Linked DNA regions of Astyanax mexicanus. The protein of the gene in region 2 interacts with the protein of the main gene of each other region in a pairwise test. Links are inferred from orthologs where the notes say so. Each region holds a gene or a part of one and is shown on either strand. Other genes may lie near its edges.

Region 1 (16,885 bases), on a different chromosome or scaffold from region 2:
AAGAATATCTGTGTGTTTTGTTTAATTGCACTATTATTTTTAATTTGACACTGTGCTATATTGTTCACAACAGTGCGACACATTCAGCTAGGGGGCTCCTGAACGCTTCATGACCTCTCTACTGGTCGCGGCAAAGATCGCAACTGCTGTAGATTCACTATCCCGTGTTTTATTATTTAATAAAAACTGAATGAGAGATTCACTTAGTATCAAAATAAAATATCTGTAGAAAATGTAGATCTTATTAATTTATCTTAAATATTATGTCAGTAATTAATTCAATATCAACAAATTAGATCTTAATATCAATATCTTCACTGCATTAGATTCACGATTTCGTTTTTTATTTTACCAGCAAAAGTGAAAGATGCTGAATTGTGCTCATGGTGAACCCGAGCTTAACATTTATAAAATAATATCTTATTAATTAATTCTCAATATTTTGTACAATATAAAGATCTTTATTGTTTTCTTCACAACAGTTCGGCACACTCAGCTGCGGGGCTCCTGAATGCTGCTTAGCCTCTCTGTTGCCCTCTGCTGGCCACGGCAAAGTTCGCCCCTGCTGAAGATTTATTATTTCGTCTTTTATTTTAACAGCAAGTGTTTAAAAAATGCTGAATTGCGTTCGTGATGAGCTTTAGCATTGTATTAAATCAGTTATAGCTTTGCTAAATAATTAGTTTACAGGAAAACGTATAAAGCACTGTACTGTTTTCTTTACAACAGTTCGACACCCTTAGCTTAGGTTGTCCTGAACGTTGCATGGGCTCTCTAGTGCCGTCTGCTGGCCGCGGCAAAGATTGACACTGATATAGATTCACCGTCCCCATGTTTTATTATTTATTAAAAAAATAAACTGTTCAAGAGATTTACTTAATATTAAAATAAAACTTCGGGAAGGCAATTAAGATCTTATTCATTTACACTCAACAAAACAAACCACTGTTCGGTTTCTTTACAATAGTTTTATTATAGCTGTAAATTAAAATGATACTAATTTATGCTCAGGTCGAGGTAGAGCTTGATAGCATTGATGTGTAGAATTTATTATAGTTAAATGGACAACTTGACGAGAAAACTTTAATTATGTGGTAAAGACCTGAGCCTATGCTGGACACTCTTGTGAATTTTCCTGCGGCTCAGTTGGTCTTTTTAAGAACAGAACTTTATAGATTTTAACACATTATTATTATTACTTGATAAAAAAGGTAAGGTCACAATAAAGTATTTGACCAGTACATGCAATCCTATTACTTTATCCTCAACATTTTGTACAAAACAAAGCACCGTGTTCTATTCTCCACAACAGTTCAACACACTCAGCTGCGGGTCTCCTGAACGCTGCATGGCCTCTCTGGTGCCCTTTGCTGGCCGCGGCAAAGATCTTCCCTGCTGTTCTGTGTTCTTCACAAAAGTTTTATTTTAGCCGTAAATAAACATTATGCTGACTTATATTCAGGGCGAGGTAGAGCTTGAAAGCATTGATGTGTGAAATTAATTTTAGTTTTGGTAAATTGACAACTTGGCAAGAAAACTTTCATGGTATATATGGTAAAGACCTGATTCTATTCGTGTATCTACGATCAGGAGATTTTGGGACAGTGCTTTGGCGCCCTCTGCTGGACACACTTATGAATTGTCCTGCGGCTTAGATGTTATTTTTAAAAACGGAACTTTATAGATTTTAACACATTATTATTGGTTATTAATAAATACAAAAAAGGAAAAGTCACAATAAATTATTTGACTAGTAAATACAATCTTATTATATTATTCTCAACATTTTATTTATTTTTTTTACAAAACAAAGCCCCGTCATGTATTCTCCACAACAGTTAGACACACTGGTCTCCTGAAGGGAGCATGGTCTCTCTCGCGCCCTCTGCTGGTCGGGCGCAAGATTCCGTGTTTTATTTGAGCAGAAACTTCAAAACCTTTTTTGAATTTCGTTCAGAATTTAGTTGATCAGGTTGTGTATGTTCTGTAGAATTAATTTCAGCTTTGTTAATTCGCCAACATTGCACGTTAACCTAAAATATATAGTAATGTTTTAAATGTTCATTTATTTTAATGAGCTTTAAGTTAAAGGGCACATGGTGCTTTTGGCGCTCTCTGCGGGTCACTCATTTGTAGTGTTTTGCCGCCCTGTACTTAGTCCTAAAATTCTAAAAACCGGATTTTATGGATTTTTACACATTATTATTTATTAAAAACTGAATGAAATATTTAATCAATATCAACGTACAATATGTGACAAAACAATTAAGATTTTTGTAATTAATTCTGAACATTTTGTACAAAATAAAGCACTTTCCTGTTTTCTCCACAACTGTTTGACACACTCAGCTTAGGGTCACTTGAACGCTGCATGGTCTTTGAAGCGCCCTCTGCTGGCCGCGGCGTAGATCGTCACTGCGGCGGATTCAGTGAGCGTGTTTTATTCTGGCAGAAAATCTAAATGGTGCTGAATTGTGCTCAATATGAGGACGAGCTTATTAGTTATGTACAATAAATCCTAGCCTTGTTAAAATGCGAAGTTAAAAAAATAAAATAAAATGTAATGTTTGAGTCTATTGATGTATTTTTATGAGCTTACTACTGTGAAGTTTCCTGTATCTCTAAATTAAAATAAACATATTAATGTATATTCTAACGAATATAACCTTTGTTAGAGGTTAAATGAAAAAATACACAAGTAGGGTGTAAAACTTTATTAGCTGTGCATATTGTGTTTTCAATAATTTTTCTATTTTTCCTTGATTTTTTATTTCTGCATCTCAGAATAAGAATTTTAGGGAAATTATTTCCTCGGTTTTCTGTTTTCTTTTTTCCTTTTTTCCCCCATTTTTGTATCTTGTAACAAAAGTTGCATTATTTCCTGAAATTCTGTTTGCAAAAGGCGAAAATAGTAAACAGGAAATTGGGGAAATTGAAAAACATTTCTTCTTTACTATAGCTAATAAATGGGAAAACTAAAAAATGAAGACCCAGTTTTCTATTTTCGAGTTTAGCTTCAAACATTAATCAAATTTAACTGATAGTAATTACATAGTTACACGCTGTTTAATTGTGATCCTGCAATTATGAGGTTTGTAAGATTAAAGAATGACATAAATTCTAACAAATGCTTATATATGTAATTTTTTATAGATCAGAGCATCATAAACAGACTGGTTATGCCGATTCATCAATCTGACAAGCTTTACTAATTTAGAAATAAAAAATTAAATATACAAATTAAAATTACAGTATTATGTATTTATTCCTATACGCATATGGACTGATGTTTTTGACGCCCTCTGCTGGTCGTTTATTAGATCGGCACTGCTGTGAAAAACCTGTTAAGACTTTCTTATTCAATTTCTATATAATCTATATAATTTCATTCATTAAATTAGCAGCGTATCATTTTAGACTAATAGAGGACACCTTATATTTACACACATACTGACACAGCGTTAGTGTTTGCAAAAACATTGTATCTCCGGTTTTACCTTTTTCACTTTTTAAATTATATTACATTTTATTTTTGTTCTTTTTATTCAAGTTTAGTCGTATGCATTGTGTTAAAATTGAATGCTAAACAAAACTAGAATCATAGAAATTAAATAACCTAATTTCCTCATGGTTTGACTCCCTTAAACATTTTTAAAACATTTCCTTGGACCAGGCCCTGTAGAGGTGGTGAAGCTGCTTCTTCTTGCTTTAGGTCCTCCCTTAGTTACTCTAAAGGATATAATGTGTGTGTGTGTGTGTGTGTGTGTGAGAGAGAGAGAGAGAGAGAGAGAGAGAGACTGAGAGGCAGTGTTAGTCTGAAACTCAATCCCACAGTGAATATCATTAAGATTTTATAAGAGAGTTCTCAGATTACATCCGAGGAATCAAACCTCTGTACAGCAGTTTTCCTCTTTACAGCAGTGGGTCAGGACTGTGCATTTCTTCTTAAAAAATTAAATATGAAATTTAAGTTACATAATTACGATGTGAAAAGAAAAAACTTTTCAGAGTGGGTCTGGTGTGAAACGCTCTGTTAAAAAAACGAAAATAATTTACAGCAAAAAGTAACAGAGCTGATCACGTCTCGACTTCCACAGTTCCCCTGAACTTCCAATAACTACCATATTTATACTCCACTGTTTCAAACGCATGCTCATTTATAGTTTCTTCAGAAATCAAGGATAATAAAATATAAAAAACGAAATATCCTGCTTTTGTTGTAGTAACTGTCTCTACTCTCCAGAGAAGACATTTCTACTAGATTTTAAAGCATTGCTGTGAGGATTTGATTGTGTCCAATTACAGGAGAGTTAGAGTGAGGTCAGGATGCTGGATATTCTTCACCACCCCACCTCAATCACACCTCCACAACTCCCTGACTCCTCCCAGAAGTACTGGATGGATGCTAACTCTCTATAAATTAAAGTACATTAGTAGTTTGGGTACCCCTGATATTGTTCATGATTTTCCTTTATAAATCACTGTTTGTTCAGATCAGTCATTTCAGTTAAATATATATCATATAGCAGCTGAAGACAGTGATATTTAAAATTTATTTTTAGAAAGCATGAAATAATTCTGTACTCAAAATTAGACAGGTGCATAAATTTGGACACCCCAACAAAAAATGACAAAAATATTTAGTAGATCCTCCTTTTGCAGTAATAACAGCCTTTAAACGCTTCCTATATCTTCCAAAGAGAGTCTGGCTTCTGGTTGAAGGAATTTTGGACCATTCTTCTTTTTACAAAACAGAGATTCCTGAACTTTTTTTTCCACTGTATATAATATTCTCTTTAATATATCCCTATACATGTGAACATAGCTAAAGTCATTAAAAGCCTTTGCCACTTCAAACAACTAAAGAAATAACGTAAACAAAGCATCTTAAGACAAATAAGACTCTGGGTTTTATTTAAAATTACAATCTGAGAGGAAAAGCCAACAAGAGGAGAGATTAACAGTAAAATTCCATTAAATCACATTTTTTACAGTTTTCTGTACTGAACTGACCACAGTCATGCAATCACAGACACACGATTCATCTCCTTCACACGAAAGAATCCACGTGTCTGAACACATTTCATTTAAAATCAGCCGAATCTGACGGCCGAGAGAAAAGTGAAAGTATTTCCTCCACAGAAACTTCAGACCACCTCCATAATCACTGTCTGTAACACCAGCGCCGGTCACCGTGCGTCCAGTCATGAGTTCATAACCGTTTTCATGCAATCAGAAGCCAAAACATGATGACCAGCGCCACAAACAGGAAGAGGCGGGACAGGAACTGTTCATCCATGTGCTGAGGGGTACCAGGAGCAGCTGGAGAGTGAACAGAGATGAGACGGGTTTAATTTAATATAAATACATCAACCAAGCCCAGTTTCTAAGAGTGTACTCATACTAAGCACGGTTCTGCACCCTCCCCACTCCCCCGCTGGCCTGCACTCACACTGAGTTTAAACAATCCGTGCCTAAGTCACACTTATGTCATTACTCACGCTGAATTCAACACCCCCGCCATGAAAAGCACCCTCTCTTGGGAGCGTGCGCCCACCGTCTCCATGATAAAAACTGGGGGTGGGTCCCCCCAGTGCCCCCTTCCACTGCCCCTCTACTCTCAACTTCCGCCTGTTCACCTCGACTTCCACAGTTCCCCTGAACTTCTAATTCTTATTCTTATTTTACACTATTACACTATTATTTTAAACGCAGGCATTCTGAGAGGGAGTTTAATTAAAGCTAAAATATGTTACGTGATGCCTGAGATACATTTTCCCTTCTAGGCTAAAAAATGATTTTCACTTAAAACTTATGTATTGACTCTGCCATTCTACATTCATTGAACATATAGGACACTATATAGTTCTGCATTTATAGACTCTATTCCTCGTGTGATGTTCTGGCATGAGCATATCAGACACAGCATAAATAATAGAAGTCATGAAGGAGTTCATATCTTATATGGAAAAATGTTTAAGTGGAGATTGTTCCTAAAGCACTCTTACGGTCTACATACAAAAATACTTCTGGTTACTCCTTGTTTACTAATTTTACTTCTGCTTTTCCTTTAATTTGCTCTCCACTGTAGAGACTTGCAGGGACTCTAAATACTGAAAAGTTCATTTTTCATGGTCTTTAAACTGTGAAATGCAGCTTAAAAGACCATATTATCAATGGCCATCACTATAATAAGTATATAAAACATACCTTTAAAAAATATGATATCCTTAAGAGAATATTTGAGAACATCCTTAGACGTTTTGGAGAATTTAGAAATACTCTTATGAACAATTTGTGTTACCTTCTCAGAGAAGCTTTTGTAAAAAAATAATGAAAGGGCAACATTTTTGTTGCTTTTTAATTAAAGATGTAGGCTCTCACTCATTCTTCCCCAGAAAGAAATCACTAAAGCCTAATATTGCCATGATATTAATGTTCACAGCGTGCACATTAATCTTTGCTATAACAAAGAACAAGGTTTGCTCAGAGTTTAGTGCTTTATATATTTGTGGGCACATACCTGCAGGTGGCCTTCCATCATTGATGTTGAACGCTGTAGCAAAAATGCCAAAAGGAAACGCTCCAATACCAAAGGACATCTGGAAGCCGCCATCTCCAAAGCCAAATCCTTGAAATCCCTGCAACCCACAACAATGCTTTTAGCTTAATGAAGAAGATTTAATAATGATGCACTTATTTAAAAAAATCGAATATCTTTAAGACCTTAGCCTCTATTTTATGTTTGATAATACTGTGGCAGCTAATAATTTAATAGCGTATTATAATAAATACAAGCACTCCAACTCATAAATCCATAAACTCATCAACAGCTTGTTCATAAAAGTGTTTAGGACAAAAGGAGCTAAAGCGCGTGATGCAATCTCAAATGCCAGGTGTTGTCATTACCTGAGAGGGGCGCAAAAAAGCTCTTTTCCACTTCTCTCTTTGGAGGTGCCTCTTAATAAGTCCCTTTGGGAGCGATTCGTTTACTAATGAATTACTTGCATGCTGGCAATACAGTACCTTCCTACCGTCACGTAATAGTTTCATCACACATGGCTAGTGCAATGTGGCATTCGGTGTTGCATATATATCTGTGTGACTCCACATATAACTCGCCAATCAGTGATTCCACCCTGTCATACGTGTCTGATTGCTGAGGGTTTAATAAATAAACATGGCGGCTGCAGCTCAGTCTGACTTTAGATGATGAAATAATTAAGTGCTTAATGTTAAACCTGTTTTTTTGTTTTGTTTTGTTTTAGCCCAGAGCGAGCATATCAGGTTAATTAGAGTAAAATGGTGCAGTTACTTACCCCACGGTTCTCAGGCTCCGGTCTCTGCCCCTGTGGTCTGGGAGGAGTTCTCTCTCTGAAATCCCAGAGGAAGAAAAATAATGAGTTTCAACAATTACTGCGATTTGGTTCGTGCCAACAACATGCTTCACTTTTTTATACTCATTTAATACATATTTGAACTTTTGTTAATCTGGAAGTGAGGGCTGTTTTTGTGCATTACAGAATACATTATAATTATTCATAATGTTATTGTTATGCAAAATGACTGATTCATAGTAACTAGACCAATATATGAACATATGATCAATAGTTTAGGCTGACCTGAGTATTGCCTATTGTTTTTACTATACAAGAAGTCCCATTACCATGAATAAGCTTGTATATTGACTTTCCTTAAAACAGTGGGTTTTTTTATGTTTTACACAATGAGGATATTTATACCTTTTTATATTCCAATTTCAATGTCAAAAAAATTATAATTAAAAGCTCACTGCTCTTTAAAAAAATAATGTGAAAATGGATTATGCTTTTTGATTATTATTATATCAGTGGCATGAAATGACCATAAAATTGTGTATTGCAATTATTTCTAGCACAGTATATTGTCAAAATGTACTATTGTGACAGACCTACTGTCAGTTAATGTTTTACATTGAGATAAAATGTCATATATATATATTAATGGTTAATTTCATGTGAACCAGGCCAAAGGTCTCAATTGTGTGAAATGAAATGATGATTAACCTCGGGTCCTGCTGGCCGGTGCTGCCTCGCCCATACAGTGGGATGACCTTGTCTCGGCTGATGCCTGCTTTACATACTGGACACACCTGTCTATTTGGCCTTGTTTCCAACCACTGTAAAGAGAGGAAATTGATGTGGGTAATTAGGGACAGTGAAAAGCCTCCAAAAGATTAATATGCATTAGAACGGGGGCACAGACAAAACATGGCAGATCAGGTTTCAAGATGGAAAGAAGACAACGTACCTGATGCAAGCAGGGCCAACTGTGAGCCAGCAGCAGAAAAAAAAACATACAAAGACAATATTAATTCAGTTATGAAGAAGCAAATGACAATAATAATTATTACTGAGATTAATATCATTCAATAAGATAATGGCCTCTTACCAGAAGAGGTGTCCACACAAGCTTATTACTGCATCCTTGGAAGTGTCCAAGCAGATGTTACATTCAAACGTGCTGTCCTGGCTGCTGCTTTCTCCTGATGCTTGGCCACTGGAGCCGGTGGCTGTAGTGTCGGTGGGTGAGGAGCCCGATGCTGGAGGAGGAGAGGCACTAGCCATGATGTTCCTCAAAAGGGCGATTGTGAGCTGCAAGGGTGGGCTGAAAAACACCTGAGAAGAAAAAGATAACTCAATAAACTCTGTAGCTCTAGAAATATTTTAAGATACAAATTACTTTTACACAGACAACACATAACAATTAAGGTCATGCAAGATAAAAAAATACATATAAATTGAATATACATCTTAAAAAACACTTTTAGCAAAGATAAATCCATCATACACATCGGTCATTGTTTATTTCTTATAACTAAGACATGTAGCCAAATGCCTAATGAATAAATAATTACAATAAATAAATACAAAGAAAGTTGTAAAGCATGGATCACATTTATCTGATTTTGGCTTTTGTAAGAAAACAGGATCAGCAGATTAAAAGATTAAAGTTTACAGTGTGTAAAATGTAAATTTAGAATGCTTACAACTACATGGCTAGACATTGTGCAAAATCTATTATAAAACTATCAATACTGTTAATGCAAAACGAACTAAAAAGGGACAAGTCTTAATCCAAACAAACCACATTTCTCACTCCTGTAGTGTCTACTATTAGTGTAAAGCAAAGATTTAAGCTTGGTAATCCTGTAAAACTATATATATAAGATTTTATCAGCATTAAGAGACATTTATGTATTTCTTAAACTACAGCACTATATTTTTTATATAAAAAAAACCTGCACACATAACCTTATCTTTCCAATGCTGATATAAAAATAGTTTATACTGTAAGATCAACATTGCTCCTTTACAGAAAACACATGCACCACAACTACGATTTTCATTAAGTAACTGATGCATTATCAAAAATGTTGTTTGGCAAGATGTGTATATAATTAAAGTCTGAATAAACAAATCTTTGGAAAGAGGCAGTGTAAATAAAAAGCTATTAAATCTTTTAATTATTTGGATTTATTTGCTATGTATATTTTGTAGTAGAATATTGGAGTCTTCTTTTCTATGCATTACAGACCGAAAACAGCATTCTTACATTATTTTCCCATTACTTGAGATCGTTAATTCAGGTCTGAAAGGGTTAAAGGTTACTAAAGGAATAGATTTAAGACACAATATCTTTCTAATAAAATTATCAAATTTCTTATTTGTATAGCACCTTTCATTCACAGATGCAATTTAAAGTGCTATATAAAGATAAGAGTCAATACAAGTTTAGGAAAGTTATAAGAAATTAGAAATGAAAGGGAAATAATATGTATTTATTTATAACAGAATTAAAATGAATAAAATTGGAATATAAGACATAACACAGAACAATGTCAAAATAAAACTACAAGACATTATAAATAAATAGTGTATTTTTATCAACTATCTCAACCCAATTGAAAGAAATAATGTAACTTTAATTATTTAAAGAAAAAGTACCTGAAAACATTTAATTTCCTTTAAGTAAGCAAAGATTCCAGTCGAAATAGAAATCACAGAATTCAGAGTAAGAGATAAACTATTATTATCATTAGATAACTGGCAAATGAACAAAATGTTATTGATAAACCTCAAAAACAGCTCAATTTAAAGCAAATAAAGGTCTAAAATCCAATAATCCTCCAGCAGTGACAGACTACAGACCAGCGCCTGATAATACAGCCTTAACTCCTCAGCGCCACTGTTATTAGCAAGGGTTAGCTAGAGGGTTAGCCAAGCTAGCGACCGTAGTTTACTAACTTTATAACTTACTTCTGGCTCTAAAATAAGCTGATTTACAATCTAAATAATGTTATTAACCTACCTTAACCGTTTCATCCAATAAATCCCCCTGTCTCCGCCGCACACACCAACTGCTGTAGATCACCTAACCCTCCGTCCTCCGGTTAAAGCACCAAACCGCGGCGCATCAATTTCAGCACGATTGCATCAAGTGGAACCCCGGAAAACGCACTCGCATACGTCACGCGAGGATAACCAATCAAGTGGCAGTACGGCGTTGCGTCTTTAACAGAACGACCAATCCGATTGGAGAAAGTCTGCGTAGGGCATCTATGTAATGCTGCAGACCGGAGCCCCAGTGGGCGTGGCTAAACGGCGGAGCATGTGTCAATCATTTTCGACTACACTTTCGTTGTCAATCACTTTTTATTAAGCCAATCCTCAGACAGACCAAGCTGTCCATCATTTTTTACTGCAGCCAATCACCTTAACAGATCTGTCAAAAGAAGGCGGAAACTGCATTGCTACCGGTTGAACGTAGCGCGATTTAAGCTTCTGAACAGCGGTGAAGCTGAATGTGTGTAAGTATTTTACAAAATACTATATTAACAGTTTAAAAACATGTATGTGCTACTGTAGTTAGTCCTGCCTATATGCCGCTCTTAAACAGAAGTAACTGAATGAAAACGTTAGAAAAGCCCTGACTTTAGATATTTTTAAATCAAAGATTAAAATACTCGTTTTTCTGGAATGGCACTTTCGTGTTTTTTAATCGTGTATATGTATGTGTGTGTGTGTGTGTGTGTATATATATATATATATATATATATATATATATATATATATATATATATATATATATATATATATATATATATATATATATATATACACACATATATATATATATATATACACATACATATACACGATTAAAAAACACGAAAGTGCCATTCCAGAAAAACTGTTCCAGAAAAACTGTTTAAACTGTTAATATAGTATTTTGTAAAATACTTATACACATTCAGCTTCACCGCTGTTCAGAAGCTTAAATCGCGCTACGTTCAACCGGTAGCAATGCAGTTTCCGCCTTCTTTTGACAGATCTGTTAAGGTGATTGGCTGCAGTAAAAAATGATGGACAGCTAAGTCTGTCTGAGGATTGGCTTAATAAAAAGTGATTGACAACGAAAGTGTAGTATCTGATTGGCTGCAGTCGAAAATGATTGACACATGCTCCGCCCTTAAGCCACGCCCACTGGGGGCTCCGGTCTGCAGCATTACCCTTCTAGCGTAGGGAGCAGTGAGCGTACGATTTGCCGGAGCTCGTTTTCTATTCCCACATGTAAACACGCAACATTACGAATTATGTCTGAAATGCTGAATTCAGCAACAGCAGAGGTGCACATATATACTAGTGCATCTAAAAAAAATAAAATATCTTTAAAAGTTACTTTATTTCAGTAATTTAGCTAAAAATGAGAAAACTCATATATTAGATGCATTAAACACAGAGTGATCTATTTTAAACGTTTATTTATTTTATTGTTGATAATCAAAAAATAACATAAAAACTCAAATTAGAATATAATATAAGACCAGTTGGAACTTTTGGCAGTGTGGGCAGTGTGCCAATTCCTGCTGGAAAATGAAATCCACATCTCCATAATAGTTGTCCGCTTGACATGGCTCTTCAAACCAACACTGATTGTGGAAACTTCATACTAGACCTCAAGCAGTTTGGACTGTGTGTCTCTCCACTCTTCCTCCAGACTCTGCTCCCTTGATTTCCAAATGAAATGCAAAAATTACTAATGCTCAATTACTGATGGTTTGGGGAGACATGACATCTGCTGGTGTTGATCCACTGTGTTTTATTATCAAGTCCAAAGTCAGTGTAGTTTTGTTTTCCCAGAAAATCTTACAGCACTTCATGCTTCCCTCTGCTACTGACAACTTTTATGGAGATTTCATTTTCCAGCAGGACTTGGCACACTGCCCACACTGCCAAATGTACCAAGTGGTCTTATAAAATATTATAATTTTCTGAAATACTAAATTTGTAAGTCTTTATATTTCATTTTTGGGAGGGGGGGGGGGTTAGGGGTTAAAGAAAAAATATATTCATTAGTTAGAAAGATATCAATATTTTTTGAAATACACCCTGTGTTTTAAATACTTATTTAGTTTTTCTGAATAAATAAACATGTACTGCTCATACAAGGATACTTTTACTTCTAAAACGGCTGAACAGTTTTGTACAGGTTTGTAAAATTTGCATCGTGCTGGGTCATACTGAGGAACAATATATTAAAATAATGTTTTAAAAAATATGATTAAAAGGAAGTAAAATAAGCACTACTTAACTATAAATTGGGGTTTGCTGTCACCTCTACTTACAGGCTTAATATCATTTGCAAAAAAACCTTAAATTGCATTGAAGTATAAAAGTAGATAAGGTATACAAAAGATGAAAAACTATTTTAAAAATGCAATATGAAAAAAGGGATGTTTTAGCTGGCTTTTATATGAATGTAAAATATTAGTCTAGTACTGTAAAGCTATGGTACTTTAATTTAGCTGTTTTACAGTATTCAAGCCTACAATATTAGTTGTATATGTACAAATAATTGTCTATTAAATGAAAGCAGATTAAGGCAGGACAAAGAATAGTGGTATTACACCTTTATTATACATTAAACACACTATATTGTAATACATAACAGCTATTTTTATATATTTTAAACTGCAGTCATTATAGTTCTCTGTTAAAAGAAAACGTCTTCAGGGCTATAAGAATATCAGCTGCTTTTACTTTGCGAGGTGGTAAAGGTGGTGAGTGAATGCATGGGGCTGGATTGTCTGTTGGGGTTTATTGTTTTTACAGAGGGGACAGTGAGAGTGATTGACCCCCTGTCGTTACTCATCACGCTTGTCCTGACGCTAAGCTGGACCCATCAGCACTCTCTGTGATGTTATGCGTGAGGAAATGGTGTTTTGGTATTGAGAACAGATGAGCAGCTGTGATGTGAGAAAATGCACTGGGGGTGGGTCATGTGACTGAGAGTGTGTGTTTGGGTGGTGTGTAATGTGGGGTACTCATGATAGGGTTGAGGGGGGGTGTACTGTTTTTGCCACACTGGCGTTAGTGTGCTCTTTTGGTCAGGTCTAGGATGAGGCCTAGAGCATAAGAGTGGGTTCTCACTTCCTATACCAACACTGTGTAGACTCTGTGGTTTAAATGAGAACTGGTGTAAAATGGACTTTTGGTGTATTAAAACATAATAAAAAGTACTTATCTTTATCAGCGGTCCGAGATCTAGAAATGTTAAAAGTTTGTCAGAACACCCTTCAGACTGGGTGACAAGGGGCATAATTTGCCCTGAGAAATAGTTTTTTCCACCATTATCCAGCTCAAAGTAGCTCCACACCTCCTTGCTAGAATCCGGACAGCCCTGACATTTAAAACGAGGCATTAATAACTTAAAAAGTGCACAAGAAGCTTATTAAAAAAACACTGTTTACATCTCATAACGCTAGCTTCAGCTTCATACGAAAATAACAGAAGCAGGCTATGCCGAGCCTGTATATGTATGTCTATATTATTTATCATATGTGTTATATATCATCAAAGGTTAGTACTCTTCATCATGTTTTTCTACACCAAAAGTCCATTTTATACCAGAGTTCTCCTTTTACCTTCTTTAGTCTCTTTTAAATATAGCTCCCCTAGTGCCCACACACAGGATTAAAGCAATAGATGCAATGCACATGACATTACAAATGGGGGAGTCACTGTAGTTTTGCCCACTGAGTGGCAAAAACACAGACTGTGTGGCAGCTGTAAGGTCAATTTATTCTTCTGTATTGAACCAACGCCATAGCGTAAGTGTACCCTGTGTGTAACTGCGCACCCTATATCATAGGTTGTTCCATTGATCCTTATGTACCTGCCCACACATTCCCACCTTTATGGTGTTATGCAGTAGATAGACAACGATGAAGTATTCTAAATACTTAACATAGCCATCTAGATAACATCATGCACATCTGACACCACATGTGCTGCATTGTAGATTAATTCTACAAATTCTACAAAACAAATGGAATTGTTTAATAAACAAAAAAGTGTTAAACAATCCAAAATATGTTTTATATTTTACATTCTTCAAAGTAGCACCTCTTGCTCAGTTGACAGTTTTGCACATCTTGGATGGATTTTCTCAGTCAGCTTTATGAGGTAGAGTCACCTGGAATTCAAGCTTTCAGTTAACAGCTGTGCTGAACTTGTCAAGAGATTTTCTTCTTGAATTTCTTGTCTCTTAATAAAGTGTTTGAGAGCATCAGCTGTAAAGTAGTGAAGAGGTAGAGTTACAGGTATACAGTGAATAGATATATTTGAGTAATTCTAATCCAGATTATGAGAAGCAAGAACTTCTCAACTAAGTGAAGAAAAAAATACTTTAAGAAATGAAGGTCAGTCAATCTGAAACATATCAAAAACTTTGAAAGTGTCCTCAAGTGCAGTCAAAAAGACCATAAAAAAAGTTTATGATGAAACTGGCTCTCATCAGCACTGCCCCAGGAAAGGAAGCGCAAGAGTTACCTTTTTTGCACAGGATAAGTTCATCAGAGTCACCAGCCTCAGAAACCACAGGTATACAGCTCCCCAGATGAGAGCACCTAAATGCTTCACAGAGTATTTTTTGGTTTGTTTAACACTTTTAAGTTTCTACATTCCTTATGCGTTGCTTTATAGTCTGGGTTTTCCTACATTTACAATGTACAACAGCAAAACATAGAGTAAAACTGTGTGTCCAAACTTTTTGACTATTTGTTACATAAACCCAAACTTTTAATTTCAGTAGGGTCATTGTTTTTCTGTTAAACATTGTATTAAACAGTGTCTGCTATGATTCAGTGCTGGATCAGTGGTAAGAGCACTGGGTCATCAATTAGATAAACTAGATGTTAAATAGAAACTGGAAATACTTGTCCATACCCTTATTCTACTGGTTCGGAGAACATTACATACTGTGATTTCCAGCGATGAACACAGTAGACAAATAGACCACAGTTGAGTTTCTATCAACGGAGACAAAGTCGATACTGATTCAGTGGAAGACACTAACAGCTAAATATATGTATATAAACATGAACCTATTAGCACCATGCCCAGTTACAGGTGTATAAAGCATACAAAGCATTAAAAAGTTTAGAAATAATACATAAAAACACATTTTAAACATCAACTATAAAGTGCTATACAGAACAAAGTAAAAAAAAACATATATAAATGATATAAACAAAATACATACAATTAAAACAAATTGGTTAAACCTAATACTTAAAAAATAAAATATCTGATCAGTAGACAAACAACAGACCACTAAAACTTAAGCAAATTAGAACGGGGAAAATCATACATAAAAATTTGGAATAATTATTAAACAGAATGTAGGCAAATGATAAGTCTAGAAGAATATATACAAAAAATATATATATATATAAAAACTATTAGTGATCAGCTTGATTAAAAGGAATGCTTTGCGTCCACATATCCATTTATGCCATAAATCATCTTATGCAAAATTGGAACTTTCAGTCTTTTAAACTTTTAAACTTTTCAGATTTTTTAAGGACAAAACTGGGAACTCATCTGATAATGTGTTCATTTCTTTCTACTTCAGAATGGCCTCTGACCTCTTAACTTTCTCATGGGTTTTAAATGGCCCTTTCAGAAGCTTCCACAAGAGGGAGGCCAGATCTGTAACAACTGGTCAGACATTGCATCATAAGCCTGTTATGTAACAGTGGATGCAAAATTAGAGTAGCGTAGTGTAGCAATTATATATTCAAAGATGTTTTCCTGCTTGGAATTACAGGTTATTCGTACAGTTGCAACCTGTTATTTAGCATTCATAAATACAGATGTACTACCCAGCAGAAAGTAACCTTAAGCAAGCATTTATCCAGCAGCTTTCCATCCCCTCACCTTACATATAACTTTAAGTAAGTCCACAGTGAGCTTGGGCTCATCCTAAAGGACAAGAATATAGCTTTTACATATAGATCATTCTCTATACTAGTAAATAAGAACCTGTAAACTTACACCAACAAGAAGGTTTTAAACCACGCCCATAGAGCTCATTGATAGGTTTGTGTATAAGTATGTATATATATATATACGTATATATATATATATATATATATATATATACGTATATATATATATATATACGTATATATATATATATATATACGTATATATATATATATATATATATACGTATATATATATATATATATATATACGTATATATATATATATATACGTATATATATATATATATACGTATATATATATATATATATATATATATATATATATATATATATATATATATACGTATATATATGTATATATATATATATACGTATATATATATATATATATATATATACGTATATATATATATATATATATACGTATATATATATATATATATATATATATATATATATATATACGTATATATATATATATATATATAAAAAAGTCAATAAGACCTTTTTATACTTGGTCACTTCATGGGTAAACAATTAAATGGAATTTAA
Region 2 (17,364 bases):
CAGCAATCCTGTGCAGAATTATCAAAAAATATATTGTCAAGAAGCAACCCACAACTTCAGTGTAGCTGAAAAAAGTGCAGAATATAAAAGAAGCTCAAGAGCAGCAGGGAGAATTCTTCTGAAGACCACCACAGTCCAATATCCTAAACAGTTCTTATTATTTTTACCCCTATTTTTTATTAAATTAAAGACAATTTAAGTTGCATTTCCACCACTGATGCATTCAACATTTGCTGTGCTAGCCAACAACACAACTGGGGTAATGACAGAAAAGAGCGCAATAATGCTCTCTCTGGCTCTGGCTGCTGATGTTAAGGTGGCATCACCCGGGATTCAGACTCGCAATCCTCGGCCCACGCAGTATCACTGTTTTAGTCTGTTGACTAAATGTAAATGAAGGGTCAAATGTAGAAGGTCTGTAAAGATACTTTTACCAATTAAGAACATCACAGAACCGTTTTGTTTCAAACACTGATGAAACACCCTGGTCTACAACCTGCCCCAAGCTGTATTGTTTCATCTGCATATTCACCCAAAGACGGGAAACTCAAGTTTTTATAATAGATGAGTAACACCCAAGCACTAATCAAAAAAAGGTGCTAATCTGACAATTCGGTCATTATGATTTCTGTACATTGTTCTTCTAATCATTCACTCCACATGCCCATATGCTGCAGGTCAGTGAGCTTTACTCGTTAATGCTGTGTGATTTAGTGGAGCAGGAGTCACTGTGGAGTCGGGCAGTACTGCTATCGGTTCTGCTGTTTGGAAGAAATACATCTAAAAAAGAGGAGAAAAAAAATTGTTACAAAATGAAGACTAAGTCTATGTTTACACAGCAGTACATCAAGTGCATATTTTTTCATCACATCTAACTTTTGTAGTAGTTCATGCATCATAACCATGTGTGCAAAAGAACAATGCATATATATATATATATATATATATATATATATATATATATATATATATATATATATATATATATATATATATATATATATATATATATTTTTTTTTTTTTTTTTTTTTTTTTTTTTTTTTGACACTCCAGATGGGCCATCCTGTAAACACATTTGACCCTTTTTTCTTTTTTTATACATATTTTAACATGGAGCAGTTGTGAGACATTTATGAGGTTTACTGCCACTAAAAACCTCACTCATTGCTGTTGTTTATTTCTTTTGCCCATTTTTTTCCTCCTTAACATATAAGTGGCCTCACAGTTTCCGTTTAAACTGAAGAGGCTAAATTTGGCTAATTAGAATTTGTGAGGAAACAGCAAAAATAACCGATTTGATACAGCTACGGGCATTTATTTGATTTGTGTAAAGTTGTAGTGAGTTACCTTGCAACCGATGGCCAGCAGTGCATGGAGCAACACTATGGCTGCCATGGAGACAAAAGCTGTCGTCTTGGTGTCATCCCGCACAACCGGCCAGAAGGTGATGACCAACACTGATCCCGAGATCACCATGGCAACCAGGATCAAGAGCCACTGAAGCCATCCAAAAGGAATGATCCATAATATCTTTAAAACAGAAGCAGAGAGAAAGTCAGTGTTCTGTTCACTGTTGATACATATTAATATGTAATGTTGGTACAGTTTATGAAGGGCTTACTGTTTAAGCTTTCTAAGCTGAGTATCCACATTATTAGTATACATAGCATGTACATTATTTACACCATATATGCTATGTACAGTATGATTTGAGTTGTTTTTCTGCAGCAGAATGTACAACATAAATCTTAATTAGAATCTGGTTTTTATTTTGGGGAAGTGAAAGTTAAACATACATGGTTACAAATATACATAGATCCATTTTGATCATTATTTTAGAGGTGATCTGAAATAATGGCTAATCTGCCATTTTGGGCTTTATAATAAAAGTCATATGGCATATTATTAAAACATACAAAAATGTCAATGACCATTCTATATTTTATTTAATTTGGACTATTTTACCTTGATCTTACTTTGATTAGGTTAAATGTGCTTAATTTAGATTAATTAAGCAGAGAGCATTTGTTGTATTAATTTATTTATCACCTGAATATATGTTATTGTGAACCAGATTCTATTTGTTTTTCTATTGAAAGTTGTATAATGTAAAAGAAATTCCAATATTGCCATAACAATTACGCAAACTTTCAACTACAACTACATCACACTCTGTCAAGCCATATTCAAACAGGCTAAAATTGAATTTTATTTTATTCAATTCAAACCTTACTTACCTCAATCATATACCTGATTGATTTAATGATTATATCTATATTTACTTATATCATACTTACTGAGGTAGGAATATAAATGAACAGAGAGTATCCGTAGACACACACTGTCTCCAGAAATGAATAGGCACTGGTCTGTCTCTCAGCGTTCTGTCGCCAGGTCATGAAGCCCCACACGCCCAGTGGTACCAGCCATGCATAGAGGAACACAGCCACAGCCGCAACAGTCACTGTCAGAAAACAAAATTAATCATTTTAAACTATGTAAACTCATAGGGTTGCCTACAAGGTGATGACAGAGCTGTTCCCTCCTACTTGCACCTGCTCCTAAAGTCTTTATGTTTCCTCCCGCCTGCTGCACTCCTCCAGTGAATGTTTCCTAGCTTTGCCAAACATTCACACAAAGCAATCCAGACTATTTTTATACACAGTTCCCCAATGGTGGAACAAACTACCTTCGACTTCCAGATCAGGAGCATCCCTCACTAACTTAAAAAAACTCCTGAATGGGGCGATGAGTGGTCCAGCGGTCTGAAACACTGCCACTATGAGCGGGAGGTCAAGCTGCCAGTGCTCAGAGGGAGCAAAATTGGCCCTGCTCCCTCGGGGTGGGTAGATAGCGCTCTCTCCCCACATCACTCCTAGGGTAATGTCTGCAGATGTATCAGAACCGAGTCTCTGCGCTGTCCTTCAAGCGCGCTGGCTGCTCAGCAATGCTGCATCAGCAGCAGCTCGAAAAGAAGAGGTGGCTAACTTCACATGTATCAGAGGAAGCATGTGTTGGTCTTCACCCTCCTGGTGTGTTGGGGCATTACTACTGATAGGGTCCTAATGAGTGGGTTGGGTAATTGACTGTGTAAATTGGGGAGAAAATGAGAAAAATTAGGAAAAAAAAAAAACTCCTGAAGACAGAGCTCTTCAAAGGGCACTTACTCTCCTAACACCTCTAACAACTCACTATTTCTAATCTCATTCCATATTCCACATCTTTTCTTTTTTTGAGATCAATTAAAAATTACAGGTTTGTTCACATAGACTTTAAAAGTATAATCTGTTCTCAGGTATTCTGAAAGAAGCATGGGATCTAAATAATTCTGCTTATTATTCCTTTGCATCTGAATTCTTGCTTACCTCTGTGGAAGTGGGGCCTGTAGTGGTAACGAGGGTTACCCATTTCACTCAGAAATGTAGAGAGGTTTCCACTGATGGCCACGGAAAACACTAGTGTTGCGCATATCCAAAAAGGCCCTGGAAATCAAGAAAATAATGACATTCCTGTGCAATTGATGCTTGTTTTAAAATATTATTTACAATATCTGCTAAAATGTGTTTTGACTGAACACTTTATAAGGAACTGTGCAACTTTACAATAATGCAAAAACCTTAACATCATGCAGACATTGATCAGCAGCTTCAGAATCAGAATGGGTGAAAATGTGATATGTGATTTTTTAGTGTGGCACAATTATTGATGCCCGATTAACTGAGATAATCTGCAGTGGGATTCCAATAATCAGATCTGAATCCAACAGAACACCTTTAGTGTGGCAGAATGGGTGACCTGCAGAATGTTTGTAAGAAAGAAGATTCTAAAAGTATAATGTTTTTAATAAAGTGTTCAGTGAGTGTACATTATTGTTCCTTACCATATAAATCTGGGTTGTTTCTAATGTGATGTTTGACGAAATTCCGGCCTGGCAAAGGCATAACTGAGGCTTTAATTCTATCCAACACCTAAAATCAAACAAGAGCATGACATGATTGACTGATCTTTTTCAGATACATCAATAAAGACAAAATTGGCACCACGCAGGAACACACTTAGCCATACAGTACCAATAGCTAATTTACTGTCTGTCATTTAAATCCATGTTATTGATCAATATAATGAAACTTATATTGATTGTACTTCTGTAGTGATTATTTATCCATCATTGAAAGCATTTACAATAGGTCACAAACATAAATGTTATATAAATTCAAATTAAGTTAAATTTAATTAAATTTTATTTATTGTGTGGTTTACATGATCAAATCTAGCATATTTCAACTTCTGGTATAAATTTAAGGTGATAGCAAGTCATTCTGAAGTAAAATAAAATGCTAATTCTTTTTATTTATTAAATAAATAAAAAAATTTAAGGGGCATTTGTATTCATTTCCCTGTACTGTGGCATTAAATGTGGATGTAATTCCTGCTAATTTTTGTCTGTTTGCACAGATGCCACTGGTGTACAGTGGGTGATAAAGTCTTCTATAAAGTATTCTTAATAAACACAGGACAATGTGGATCGAGGACTGTTTAAAAATCCGTCTGGCTCCCACGCTCAGGTCAGGCGTTAGGTGTTCCCAAGCTGTTCTTCTGAGGTAACACAACATACTGCTATCCTATGACTTTTGGCATGTCAGTGTATACAGAAGGCTTGTATTGATAATACACATTAATATACTCCTAAAGAACTCCATACCTGCATTGTGTCAACATTGAAGAAAGACTGATAGTATTCAAACGTCCAGAAGCCCCCACTTTGTTTTTCACCTCCAAGCAACTGCAAGTAAAGAACAAAACAGGTGTTCAGACACAACATTAGTTCCTGTCAGAACAACTATTAAGAAGTATTAAATGTAGTAATTCTTGATTTCTGCAAAGACAAAGGAGAATAGGGCACATACAGAAAAGAGAAAAGATTATTATTATTCTGTAGTTAAATGAATTTGAGTTCAGCAGCCCTCTAAGCAAACACATATATACAAATTTTCACACTAGTTAATACTGGTCACAAGGTTCTATGTAGCAGTTACAGAATTTACATTTGCCTTATTAATGTGCCCTGTACCTGGCTGTAATGCAGCACCTTTAGTAAATAAGTAAACCAGCTCACAGTGAGATAAAGGCAGGTAAAGGGGGAACTAGAGCAGAAAACAGGTTTTATCTTGCCGAAGTTAAATAATAGTTCAGAACAAGGAAGTGACAAACTGTAAACCCCAAACACTGTTGTTCCTCCTTAAAAAGAAAATCCAGTTGAGCCAAAACCGAGATATGCATTGAACAAATTTCTGAACTGTTTCTTAACCTTAGAAAAGGGCTCGCCCAAAGGGCAGAGAGTTTAGAAATTAGGCTTAAAGGGTTAATTTTATCCCCACTTGCCAGGCTACAAATTTCTCAGCTTTGTAACCCCACAATGTGCCGAAAAGACACTGAAAGCACACAGAGATGATTGCAACATTTTCTGGTATGCCTGTTTGTGTTACAGTGCTAAAACAAAGCTATTCTACATGGCTCACTTGAGATGTCTCGGCGATGTAAACCAGCCAATTAGTGAAGGGTTCATCTTTTTTTAAGGGGCACCATAAGCCAAGGCTAAATTGTAAATTGATGAAAGATCCAATTTGAGCATTTTAGCCCTATATTACATTGCACCTTTTGGCATCCTTGGGCAAGACACTTGCAAGGCTTGCCTACTTGTGGAAAATATGTAATAAAAAAAATAATAATAAAAAAAAGAGAGAGTGTCTGCACCATGCTTTCCTGTAAATATGCATTAAGTTGATAAAAGCACCTCTGAGCTCTCCTGCTGATTCTCCTCATCATCTGACAGGTCCAGCTTAACATCCCCTGCAGGTGCAGTAGTGCTGGAGTTGGTGATACTGAGCGTGGAGGCACCGGGGTCAGCGGCCAGTAAATCTGTGGCCTCCTCGAATTCTGCATTGGTTTACAAAAGGTAAAAGAGTGAGGAAGGAGGAGACATGCAAGAACATCTGAACAGTTTACTTACTGAACAGAAGTACCAACCTTGAAATCTCAAATCGTCAGGACTCGCCATGGTAGATCACAGAAATGACTGAAGAAAAAAGAAACATATCACAAGAACACCAACAAGGTCACTATAAATGTTTCGGCATAAAAATCTAAATAATTTTTTAAATGTCAAACTATAAACACATTTATTAGTAAGACCGGTAGAACTACTGCATACAACTTTACTGGAGGCTCACAGACTGCTCAAAACATTTAACTTCTGAACAAATAAAAATGGCAATTATATTGTGAACTACACACAAATAAATATGTGCTGTTAAGTGGTCATCCAAGGCATATTATTGCATAATATATTGTTTTAGTATAATCATAACAGTGTGCACATGCACAATCGTCACATTGTATGTCACATGCAGTGTCATGTAAAGCAAATTAAACCATACAGGAGATGCTAGAACTTCCTTGGTACAAAAAATAAATAACTTAAACATAAAAAATAAAGTAATAAACGCCAATACATTTATTTTTTTTCCAATATTTGATACAGAGAGAACACTGTTAGTATCATAAGATGTTAAATCACTGATTTTAGGAAAAATCGATGTTTAATATCACAACATACAGTACATATCAAAACAATAACATACTGCAGTGTTATATTTTTTCTTATCATACTAAATGTGGTAGTTGTTCAAAATGAATGTGTTCAGCTACCAAATATCAGATGTTAGTTAATTACAGTACATGTTTAGCTTATCTTCTAATTTCTTTATCTAAATATTCTGTTCCAACTTAAAACAGTGTAACTGCTAAAGCACTTAAGGTGGAAAGGGTATATTAGTAGCTCACAGTTGTAACACTAACTAGCTGTTTAATTTGATAAGAAAAGCTACTGCCAAGCTCTGCGTGTTTAAGAACAGCTGAATCAACACACTGCAGACCCCAGTCAGGACCCGCAGCTGCTGCAGGTTTAAGGTGGAACTGACAGAAGGTGAGGAACAGGGGAAGGTAATGAGCTCGTGTCGGGGTGATGAAGCGGTTAGTCGGGTTAGTTGTGAGGCGGTTAGCCTCCTCTTACCAGCGGTCAGTCAGTGCTGCATCAGCTCTCCCACCATTAACGCTGCCTCTGCTCTTCACTAACGGTCACCAGGCTCCTCAGCAGTGACAGCGCTGCTGCCGGGACTCAGACAGCGCTACAGCCGCCGCCTCTGAACCGCCACGACCGGGTTAAAGTCGGGTACAAAACAACTCAGTTAATTCAGTGAAATCTCACGCAGCTGTGGGTTTATCCCGCCGTGCTCCACGTCACCCTCCCAGCGACAGAGTTCCTGCGTGTGTCAAAATAAGGTCACGTGACCGGAGCCAAGCCGGAACCTTAAAAAACAAATAATTAAATACCAAACGCGATTTTATTTTAAATCTAAGCATTTTAACTAGTTATTTAGCAGATTTAATAGTTAAATATTTTTTATAATATTTTTTTTTATATTGACTAAAATATAATAAATCTAATTATTGTACTTTTTTTTTTTACTAAAATAATCTTAAGTCGAATTATTAATAAAGCATGAAAACCACGGAAACGGCACATTGTGTATCTGTGGCAGATTACGACGGGTTTTAAGTTTTTAAAATGTTTTGTTCTGTGTTCAGAATCAGAAATCTGTAAGTTAACTGTTTTTGTAGCAGAGAGCTTATACAGAGGAGAATACCCACTTATTAATCTCTTCTGGATTTGACAGTCCACCAGAGGACGCTCGCGAGTAAATCGTATACATATACGCATATATATTAACACATAACTATATAAAATGTTTCAAGCTTTTAAACTTAATTTATAAGCCTTTTAAATGTGCTTTGACTAAATGTGCTTTGTAAATCCAGTGTTAGCACACCAATCAGTTAGCACACAGTAACAGTAATGCTAGCAAAAAGGAGATACAATCCTTTACACCTATACTTTAAAATCCATATCCCCTGATCGCAAAATTAAAACCTAATTTTTAAAAAAGGAAGAAAAAAACTGACAGAGAAAAATCAGAGTGGAACGTAAAAACCGTTGATATGGTCCCCCTATCGGACCACCAACTCCAAACCACGCCAGAGCTGGTTTAGAGCAAGCCTATCTACTTCCGCTCTCCTCCGTTATCAGAAAATAAGGGATAACCGCTAGAGGGAGCCTGCGAGTGAGCCATAAATAAAGGGAGGGGGGTTGAATGGTTAAAAACTCGGTAAAAACGATCATTAACTACGTGTCCAGGATATTGCTTAAATTTCGTAATTTCGTAATTTGAACAACAGATTTGGTAGCATCACTGCTACAGAAGTGCTGAAGTAACAGCCAGCACATGTTTTAAATGTTTCCAAGTGGACTTTAAAAGTTTGTATTTGGCATTAACATTTGATATGTTGAGGAACTAATCACATTTTTCGGTTTAAAAATTTAGCAAACATTTACAATCTGAACCTATTCATTTAGGACTCGGGAGCGCCCTCTGGTGGTCTGACATAAAGAGGTTTTAAAGTGGTCTACAGGTTCTTTGACCGAGCCTGCGCCATTTCGGCTCAGTGGTTTCGCCAGTGGGCGTGTTGTGTGGGGGGGCCGTGTGGAAACAGAGCCGGCGGTATCGGTTCCGGTTGAGTTGAGAGCACTGAGCCGCTGATCAGCGTGTGTTCGGACTGTCATGGCTGCCTCGTGTGTTTTCAGGAGGCTCTGCTCCACCGCAGCGGAGGCTCAGGGCAAGGGCAGCCGGTGGGAGAGGCTGAAGAGCGGCCGCGTGGGTGAGCGCTTTACCTACCGAGACATACAGATTAAATATACTCTTTATTATTAACCCGATCAGCAGCTGCTGATCTACTGCAGAACTGGAGAGGAGAAGCAGTCTACTGCCCGACAGTAGAATCAGTTAATTAATATATATAATAATAACATAATATAATTCAGTAGAAACTCTGATCCTTAATTTAATTTTATATTAATTATGCCCAAATGGTGAGAATAAACACATGTTTAACACTAACTGTAGGTCAAAACTGAAATATATGTTCTCCTCTTAACACAAACGCTCTTGCATCTCCATTACCAAGGTCTTTTAGGTTATTAGACACATGAAAGACACACTTCTTTCATTCTTTTTTTTACATTGTAAATTTAATATCGAAGATATATGGATAGATTAATAGATATTAACAAATTATTTTACTTGTAAATTTTAAAAGAAGTGGCACCTTACAGCTTATAGCACATTCAAAACCAGGAGAGAGGATCAGTAAGATGTATCAAAAATGCCATCTAATAAAATCAGGCAAAAAGATCCACTTAGTGTCACATCCTGCTCTTACTGAAGAACAATTGCAGAATATGGTATTCTATATCGGGTTTAATTCACTTTACTATCATTCCTGTTTAGTTTAATTCCACTGGGTCGAAAAAAGTCCAAACAATAGAAGACATTGTGTTAGTAGAAAAATACAACAGTAATGTAATGGAATGTAAAAATGAGATGTATGATTTTCAGCTATGGCTGACAGAAAGAAAATAACACATTTAATAATTAAGTTCACACTGAATTCTCAAACCCTCCACATCCACAGAGGGAGCTATTCACACTGCAGACTGTGCTTACATGACCTAACTAGACTAGAGGCAGAGTAGAGCTCCACTAGTGGTAGAGCACACACCAAACTACTACAAAATAAAATAAAAGTAACATTTTTAAAAACATTTAAAGAGCTAATTTATGTTCTTAATTTATTGTGTTCCACATTCATTTTGGGATACGGTGTCATCGTATGTTGCATTTATGTTCATATTGTGCACTGCTGCAGAAACTGCAGATATCTAGTAGAGTTTAGTAAAGGTTTTGCCCTCTACTCTACACTCTACTTTGGTAGGAGTATTAAAAGTAGACATGTTAATTAACCATTAAAAATCAATATTTTTGGTTTTCATATGTTTTGCTATTATAAAATCCTATTCCAGTAAAACCAGTTAAAATGTCCTTTTTGCAGGTGTGTGGTGCCGTAGTCTTTTGGGTGACTACAAGGAGGCCTGCCGGGAGGTGGTTGTTGGAGCACGGGAGCGTCCCTTTAAAGCCTCAGCTTACGCGGTCCTGCTGGGGGGGGCGTATTTCTGTTATCGAACAAATCCAGATGACACGTCCTTCCAGACTGATCTGCTAGAAACCTCCAATAAACTGGCCCTTCTGTCACCATGGATACGAAGCGGGATGTCAGATGGTCACGTGCAGAACCTGGTGAGGCTGCGTAATGAAGGTCGACTGCGCTACCTTAGTCTGGGCGTGGCCTCGGTGACCTACGTGGTGAGCTACGACCCTGAGAGCAGCCTGTACGAGGCTCAGTGCTCGGCTCTGTCTGTGCCCTGGGCAGAGCTGCCCGGGCGCATGCTGGACGTGGGCTTCGCTGGACGCTGGTGGGTACTGCACCAGAAGATGAAGGACTATGACATTAACGAGGAAGAGTTTAAGCATCTCTCTCCGGCTTTGGTGGCCACAGCTCCCCCTTCAGTGCAGGAGACTGAGAGGAATGAGAGACTGCACAGAGATTCGTTGAAGGCGCTGGTGATGGAGGTAGAGGAGGAAACGGCAGATGGTGCAGTGAGTGTACAGAAAGAGGGGGAGATCGTGGCGAAAGGATGAGAGAAAACTGTGTAAGAACAGATGCACCTAAGCGTTGATGTGCTTCACTAAAGGACGTGTGCTGGCATGGACATATGGACTGGAGGCATGTCACATATGATCAGATAAATCTGTGAGCAGCAGCCCGGAAGGGAAAGCGCATTTCTCTGGACATGGACTTCAGTTTATATAGTGTTGTTGGAATTCTGGGACAAAAAATGTCATGTATTGCTATACTGTATGTTAATACTTTAATCTTAAAACTAAAGGTGCTACAAAATTGTTATTCAAGGCTCAGCAAAATATTTTTTTTTTTTTTGACAAAACCTTGGTGAGGTGGTGTGTTGGTAGAGACGTGGGCCTGTTCCTTGCTACTAATTTGTGCATCTCCAGTGAGATTAACCATTTTTTGAAAATATATGAATGTAAAATATAAAGTAAAATGATTTGGTAAAGAACTTTAACCCTGATTTAACACTGGCAGGCCACAGAGCAGGCCACAACGTCATTTCTTATAGGAAGGTTTATGATTTTTTTTGTGTGTGTTTAAGTGTTTTTACCTGAGGGTCCCCAGATTCTGCTCTGTGAACATTTTGTTTCTCCAATATTTCATTCATATTCTGAGCAGAGCGGTTTTGAACATGACGGAGAGGCTCAGCACAGCTGATTCTTCTTTGCCCGTTTATATGATGCATTTTTGCACAAATACAGGGACAATTTGCAGAAAATTAAAGTGTTAATGAAAGTAGCAGATGAGCTTGCTACATTAGCCAGCATGCTAACCAGTCATGTTGATACAGGCCCTGATACACAGCCACACTTGACAGCACAAGCAGTCTTAAACACACTCACAAGAGACAAATTTGAGTGATGCGAGTGACCATAACTTATTCAAACCTAAATCAGCTTCTTTACACTCACATCTCTTGCAGAAATGTACATTAAAATCTTTATAGAACTAAAATGAACTAAATGTTTCTTCTATGGCATCACTTGAACCCTTTTGTAGCACCTTTTATTTTTTAGGAGTGCTGGTGAAATATGAAATGTTTGGCATAGTCTGTGAAGATGAACTGAATCAATAAACATTATTGTTATTTTGTAGTCACTGTCACTTTTGATTATGTAAGGCTGCATTCCATTTGAACTCCCATGTCAGAATTTTCTAGTTCCAAGACGGACTTCCAATTATCAAAATGATAAAAGCTCCACCAACCCTGAGTTAGGAATCCAAGATGGCTGCCCTGTACATCAGTAGAAGTAAAAGCAGTAATATATACTGCTTGTTGTCACTTCTATCTATCTGTCTCATTAAATAAGTTCTATACACAGTACTGCTCAAGTTTTATCTGTAGATCAAATTCCATGTTTAAATCTGCAAAATACTGCATAATGTATTAGGATACAGTGCTAACAACAACCACCTGGGGCTCTATGCTACCTTACACCCTGTCAACAGTCTGTTTTGGAGCCTTGCTTACTAATTTGCATGGTGGTCTGGAAGTGGGGTGTGTTTAGGTAATTTTCTGGCGTATTTCTATTTTGGCATCGAAAAACACAGGTGCTCCACTGACTGAAATAAATCTAGACAACTGTCAACCATCAGAGTCTATTCCCATAGGTGTGCCATGTAAACACACATTGACGCACTACAAAGCGTAAACCTGACTTTTAACTCTACAATGAACAGATTTAAGTAAATAAGCTGCTGGCTTACCTTCACAGTGTGAACTCACAGTGTGAAAACACAGTTCAGTATTCTCTGCTGAGACGCACAAAGCGCCGTGCTATAAAGATTCAAACGCGCCAAAGTCAGAGCTCATCTGCATCTTAAAGGAAATGACAAGTGATACACTGATTGGTTTATTTCACATTGCGCCCAAAACACACCCATAATTAAGAGAATGAGTACATGCATTTTGAGCTGCACAAGGTGTCTTTTTTTCGTCTTCACAATACCGAAGAGACACGGCGCCCTAAATCAAGCTGCATGATGCAGAATTGACCGGTGCGCTATAGATCGCTAAAATAGGCCCCCTGGACTCTACTGTTGAAGGTGTCTTGTGTTATCTGTCAAAACAATGTTAGCTTGTAAGCTGTAAAGTTGGGTGCATACATGAGTTTTAGGTACCTAAAACACAACTGCTGGTTCACCTGATATTATGGAGATTATCTGACCCAACTGTCTAGCCTCACTTTTTGTTGCTTGTCAAATTGTTTCAGATTCTTACAGGTTTTTACTTCTTTAGAGTTTTAACCTTAAAAACTGACTGTTCACAGTTTTATGGTATTTTTCATTTTTTCTAAAGTGCTAACAGAATAATGATAATAAATAGAATTCTAAATTGTATTTAAATTGACTATCATGTTTTTTAATTACAGCTTGTTATTTTGCTTGTTGGCAGTGTTCACAGCCTTTACATAAGCAAAAGTGCCACTGTGTAAATGTACTCTGCATTGAAAATTCTCAGTAAAATGAAAGTGTTAGAGAGCTAAAAGCATTATTTGAAACTTGAAAATTTTAGAAAAACAAATTAGAGAAACAATAACGTCTTGAATGAATGTGTCCGTCAGATTAAATTTCTTACCCAGTTCTAAATAATGCAGGTTTCAAATCTGCATCATCATGCTAACGGCCAATTCATCAAACTGGTAACTTGTTTATGTTTGTGTTTAATTGAGTAATCTCTCCCACCCCATTAATTTTAGCACCACGGAGAGTTTTCTTTGCAGCCGATTCTGGGAAACAAAATTAGAGGAGTAAACCTGCTGTAAACACAAAATAAATGGAAGTTGTCCTGCTGCTCAGGCAGGCGTAGGTGTGGTCTTGTCCTCTGGAGGAAAAAGGCTATTTTCTTTACAGCCCTAAACAACGATTGCCGTTACTTTATTCTGTTTGCCAAAGACGTGAGTTAATCATGCCTTTAATCAGATTCCCTCTGAATGACCTCCTGTTTCATTTTCGGGAGAAATCCTCTCACTGCAAATTAATCTCTCTTCAGTCCACTATCGGCCCGGCGCGCTCACACACCCCCGCGCTGAGACGGCTGGTATTGATCCCGCTGCTCTACAGGCCGCACTGCCTCTCGATTCTGATCAGTATCCGATCTGCCCAGAGCCATCGTTCATCCTGATCCTGCAGTAAAGAATGTGCAGACACTGCGGGAGTGCTGTGTTAGTGGACCCCGTGGCCAGTTCATTCTTACATGACCTCTTTCTCACAATCTCTATAAAGACTTTTCAACTTAGAATTAGATTTTAATGTAGACCTAAGTAGAAATGAGCACTATTCGAATTGGCCCTTTTTTTATATTTTTAATTGTGCATCCTTTAAAGCCAGATCTGGCTGTAACACTCCTTATAGCATCAGTGTGAATGGGTGGAGCTAGGCTGTTATATGCTGAGTAGGTGGATGTTTGTAAAGGCTCAGGAGTGAGGTTAGAAGCAGTTATTAAAATAATGAAAAAATATGAATTGTTATTATTTGAATTAGTGCTGTCAACAACAACAAAAAATTATGCTGATTAACGACTCATAAGTAAAGACCAGATTATGTACAGACATCATAAACATATTGTATAAAACAGCAGAACCTATCTAGCCCAGAGACATAATACTGATATTAAAAAAATCAGTGATTAATTAATCTTGGAAACAGTTAGCATTGGAATCAGCACGCTCCAACCCTTACTGCTGATTTGGCTGTTAGCTAGCATTGAGCCACAAACTTCATTCCTGTGTTGTAAGTGTAAGTGCAAGTCCCATAATCCACATATCTTGACAAAACACAGAAGCTACTAATGTAATCAGCATAGTGACATCCATCTGTTATCAAAAAATTGCAATTAATTCAGCTCAAGAGTTGACATCGTCAGTTAGTCAATAGCTATTATGGCTTATCCAACATTTTGGTCTTCATAATAAAAGTCAGATCATATTAATCAGTTTAATTTTTAAATAAATAATAATATAATAAATAATACATGTGCATCAAACTATAAAAAAGACATTATTTACAGTGTCTGCTACTAACTGATGTTCATTTGTTCTTTTAAGTCTATGCCAGTCATTCATTTATTCTTTTGCTCCTTAGCTAAAATCAATTTGAATTGCACAGTTTTAAATACCTTCTTACGCGAAAAAGTGATGAATTTTGGTTAATTAATCACAGAGCATGTCGATACATTAAGATACATTTTTTAAAATTACTTTAGAACACTAATTTGTATCATGACAGAGTGGGGTTAGCAGAAACTGAGGAGCATAGTGTGTAGAGGTCAACAACTTTCTGCAGTCAATCACCACAGACCTCCAAACTTGTGGCCTCCAGATTAGCTGAAGAACAGTGTTTAGAGCTTCATGGAATGGGTTTCCATGGAGAGCAGCTCCAGCCATGCCGCACATCACCAAACTCCAGGCAGGAAGGCAGATGCTTTTGGCAATAAAGTGTATTTACATATTCACTTTAAATTTTAAATCTTTAATAGGTTGGAAAGCTCAAGTAAGTGGAGAAACTTTTACACTGTAATTATAATATGAACATAAAAATCAATTTAAGCTATAAAACATAAGGAAATGTTTCATTGAATGTTATTGGTATTTATTTGACTCAGTTCTGGTGTTTTAAAATTAATGCAGTCAAAACTCCACCCTTCAGATGGGGTTTTATACCTTTATTGATGAATGCGTTTGAACAAGACAGACACGGTCTCTGGGGTTTATCCCCTCCAGAGGGCGCTCTGTCTGGGTGCATTGAGACCAGGAGGGTCTTTCCTTATCTCCCTGTAACCTTACCCCACTTGGGAATGGTAGGACACTGGCTGTAATGGGGTCACAGGTCAGCCGGTGATGTCATTAATGCACACATTCAAAGCCGTGCTTCTGAACTATCGTATGTCGCTCAATGGGAACGTGGCTCCTCCTCGCTTCAGTCAAAGAATGAATTAGAGCCAAATTATTACAGCCTTATCCAATTACTGCTCTTCTGTTTTATGGGTGCAGTGTAGTCACTCGGCTGTACACAGGAATGGCCGCTCAGTCCGATCACGCAGCTCGTTATCCAATCACTAAAGATTTTTTCCTGCAGTCACAGGAAGTTGCTGGCATATCTGATGCATCGTCCATCCTCGTAATGTACTGGGGCACTCGGCCTGCCCATCAGAGGGTCCACAGGGACCACACAGCTAGGAAAGGGACAGTTAAGCTATATGAAGTCTAGTAATAATGATACTGCTTCAGTTTGTTCAGACATTATATGAATTCTGATAACCAAGTACGACTGACATCTATTTTCCTTTGTTACGCTTCACGTTTTAACATGGCTGTGAGGCATTTGATAGCATTAGGCCACAAGTCATTATCATTATCTAAGATAAGCTACTTATCGGATGTTGGATATTCACTTCTGAATCACAAACACCACTCCAACTCAACCTAAAGGTATTGGATGGAGCTCCTTATGTAAGTGCGGAGTTTTACACCCCTCCAGCTGGGAGTGGTGACTCAGTGAGACTCTTACCCAGAGGTGGGGACCTAAATCACATGACTTGGACTCAGAGAGTGTAGATTTGGTCTGCAACAGCCTTCATACAGCAATGCTCACTTAACTTTATGAACAAAACTTACAATATTCACATGAAAGCTGATGGTTGGATACATCAATAAAATATCACATACAGTACCAGTACCAGTCAACAGATTGGACACACCTTATCATTCATTCGTCTTTCTTAATTTTTTTTTAACTACATTTATTTTCTACATTGTGGATTTATATTAAAAACATCAACAAAGGACACATATGGAATTACATAGTAAACAAATTATTGTTCAGCACCTCCAGGTACTCCTTCAAGACGCTAGGAAAACTATTTCAGGTGACCCTCCCTCATGAAGAAAATGAGATTAAAATACCAAGTGTGTGCAGATCTGTCCTCAAAGATAAATATGGAACTTTGAAGTATATAATTTAAAGAATTTAAAGTGTAAAACATGGTTTGTTTGACATATTTTGTCTACAAAACAATTCCACATGTGCTTTTGTATAGCTTTAATGTCTTCAATATGAAATGTTTCATTTTATATAATCATTAAAAGAAATAAACCACATTGAATGAGAAGCTTTTTGTCCAAACTTTTGACTGGTACTGTATGACAATGACAACTGTCAAGTTTTGAGATTTGTATATTAGGCAGCAAGTAAACGGTCAGATCTTAAAGATATGTTAGAAGTAGGAAATATGGGCAGGTGTAAGAATCTGAGGCACAAAACCAAAACGGTGATAACTGCACAAGAGCATCTTTAAAACATCAGTCAGGTTTAAGTCTGATTTAAGTTTCTGGTATGCAGTGGTCAGCACCTACCAAAAGTGGTGCAATGAGGTGAACCTGTGAACCAGTGAGAGGGTCATGAAGGTCCAGAGCTCAGTGATGCGATTAATGGAGGTCCCACCTATTAACTTAAAGGAACTTTAATGTTAAAAGAACACAGGACACTTTAATAGCCTTGTGGAGTTATTAACCTTATACATCAGAACTGTTTTGGTGTTACAGAGAGGAAATAAGTTTAACTTTACTTAATAAAATTATTTTTATACACTGAATGGTTACTGGAATTTACTAAGTAACATATAGTATACATTAAAGTTTGGTTACTTATATATTGTAGCTGTCATGCAAAAAAAAGTTCAATTTAATTTTTGTTCTTTCACTTTTTGCAAAAATTTAATTTAA

Evidence for each region.
Region 1: the proteins of yipf2 (region 2) and rnf185 interact in binary tests that used the Homo sapiens proteins (3 or more experiments, as listed by UniProt). The two-hybrid records come from large-scale screens. The link is inferred for Astyanax mexicanus from reciprocal best matches to the Homo sapiens genes YIPF2 and RNF185.

Annotation. Positions count from the first base shown.
Region 1 is NC_064408.1:8,586,142-8,603,026, forward strand, and holds rnf185 (E3 ubiquitin-protein ligase RNF185), read right to left. Parts: upstream 10,501-16,885; 5' UTR 10,351-10,500; intron 8,658-10,350; 5' UTR 8,607-8,657; coding exon 8,431-8,606; intron 8,309-8,430; coding exon 8,290-8,308; intron 8,159-8,289; coding exon 8,046-8,158; intron 7,375-8,045; coding exon 7,320-7,374; intron 6,642-7,319; coding exon 6,524-6,641; intron 5,323-6,523; coding exon 5,225-5,322; 3' UTR 4,888-5,224; downstream 1-4,887. UniProt on the Homo sapiens protein: E3 ubiquitin-protein ligase that regulates selective mitochondrial autophagy by mediating 'Lys-63'-linked polyubiquitination of BNIP1.
Region 2 is NC_064426.1:9,766,860-9,784,223, forward strand, and holds the start of yipf2 (protein YIPF2), read right to left. Parts: upstream 7,327-17,364; 5' UTR 7,074-7,326; intron 6,078-7,073; 5' UTR 6,060-6,077; coding exon 6,029-6,059; intron 5,939-6,028; coding exon 5,796-5,938; intron 4,785-5,795; coding exon 4,704-4,784; intron 3,970-4,703; coding exon 3,882-3,969; intron 3,484-3,881; coding exon 3,367-3,483; intron 2,466-3,366; coding exon 2,299-2,465; intron 1,532-2,298; coding exon 1,349-1,531; intron 781-1,348; coding exon 679-780; 3' UTR 1-678. Other genes in the region: timm29 (mitochondrial import inner membrane translocase subunit Tim29), read left to right, coding at 8,680-8,776, 10,007-10,653.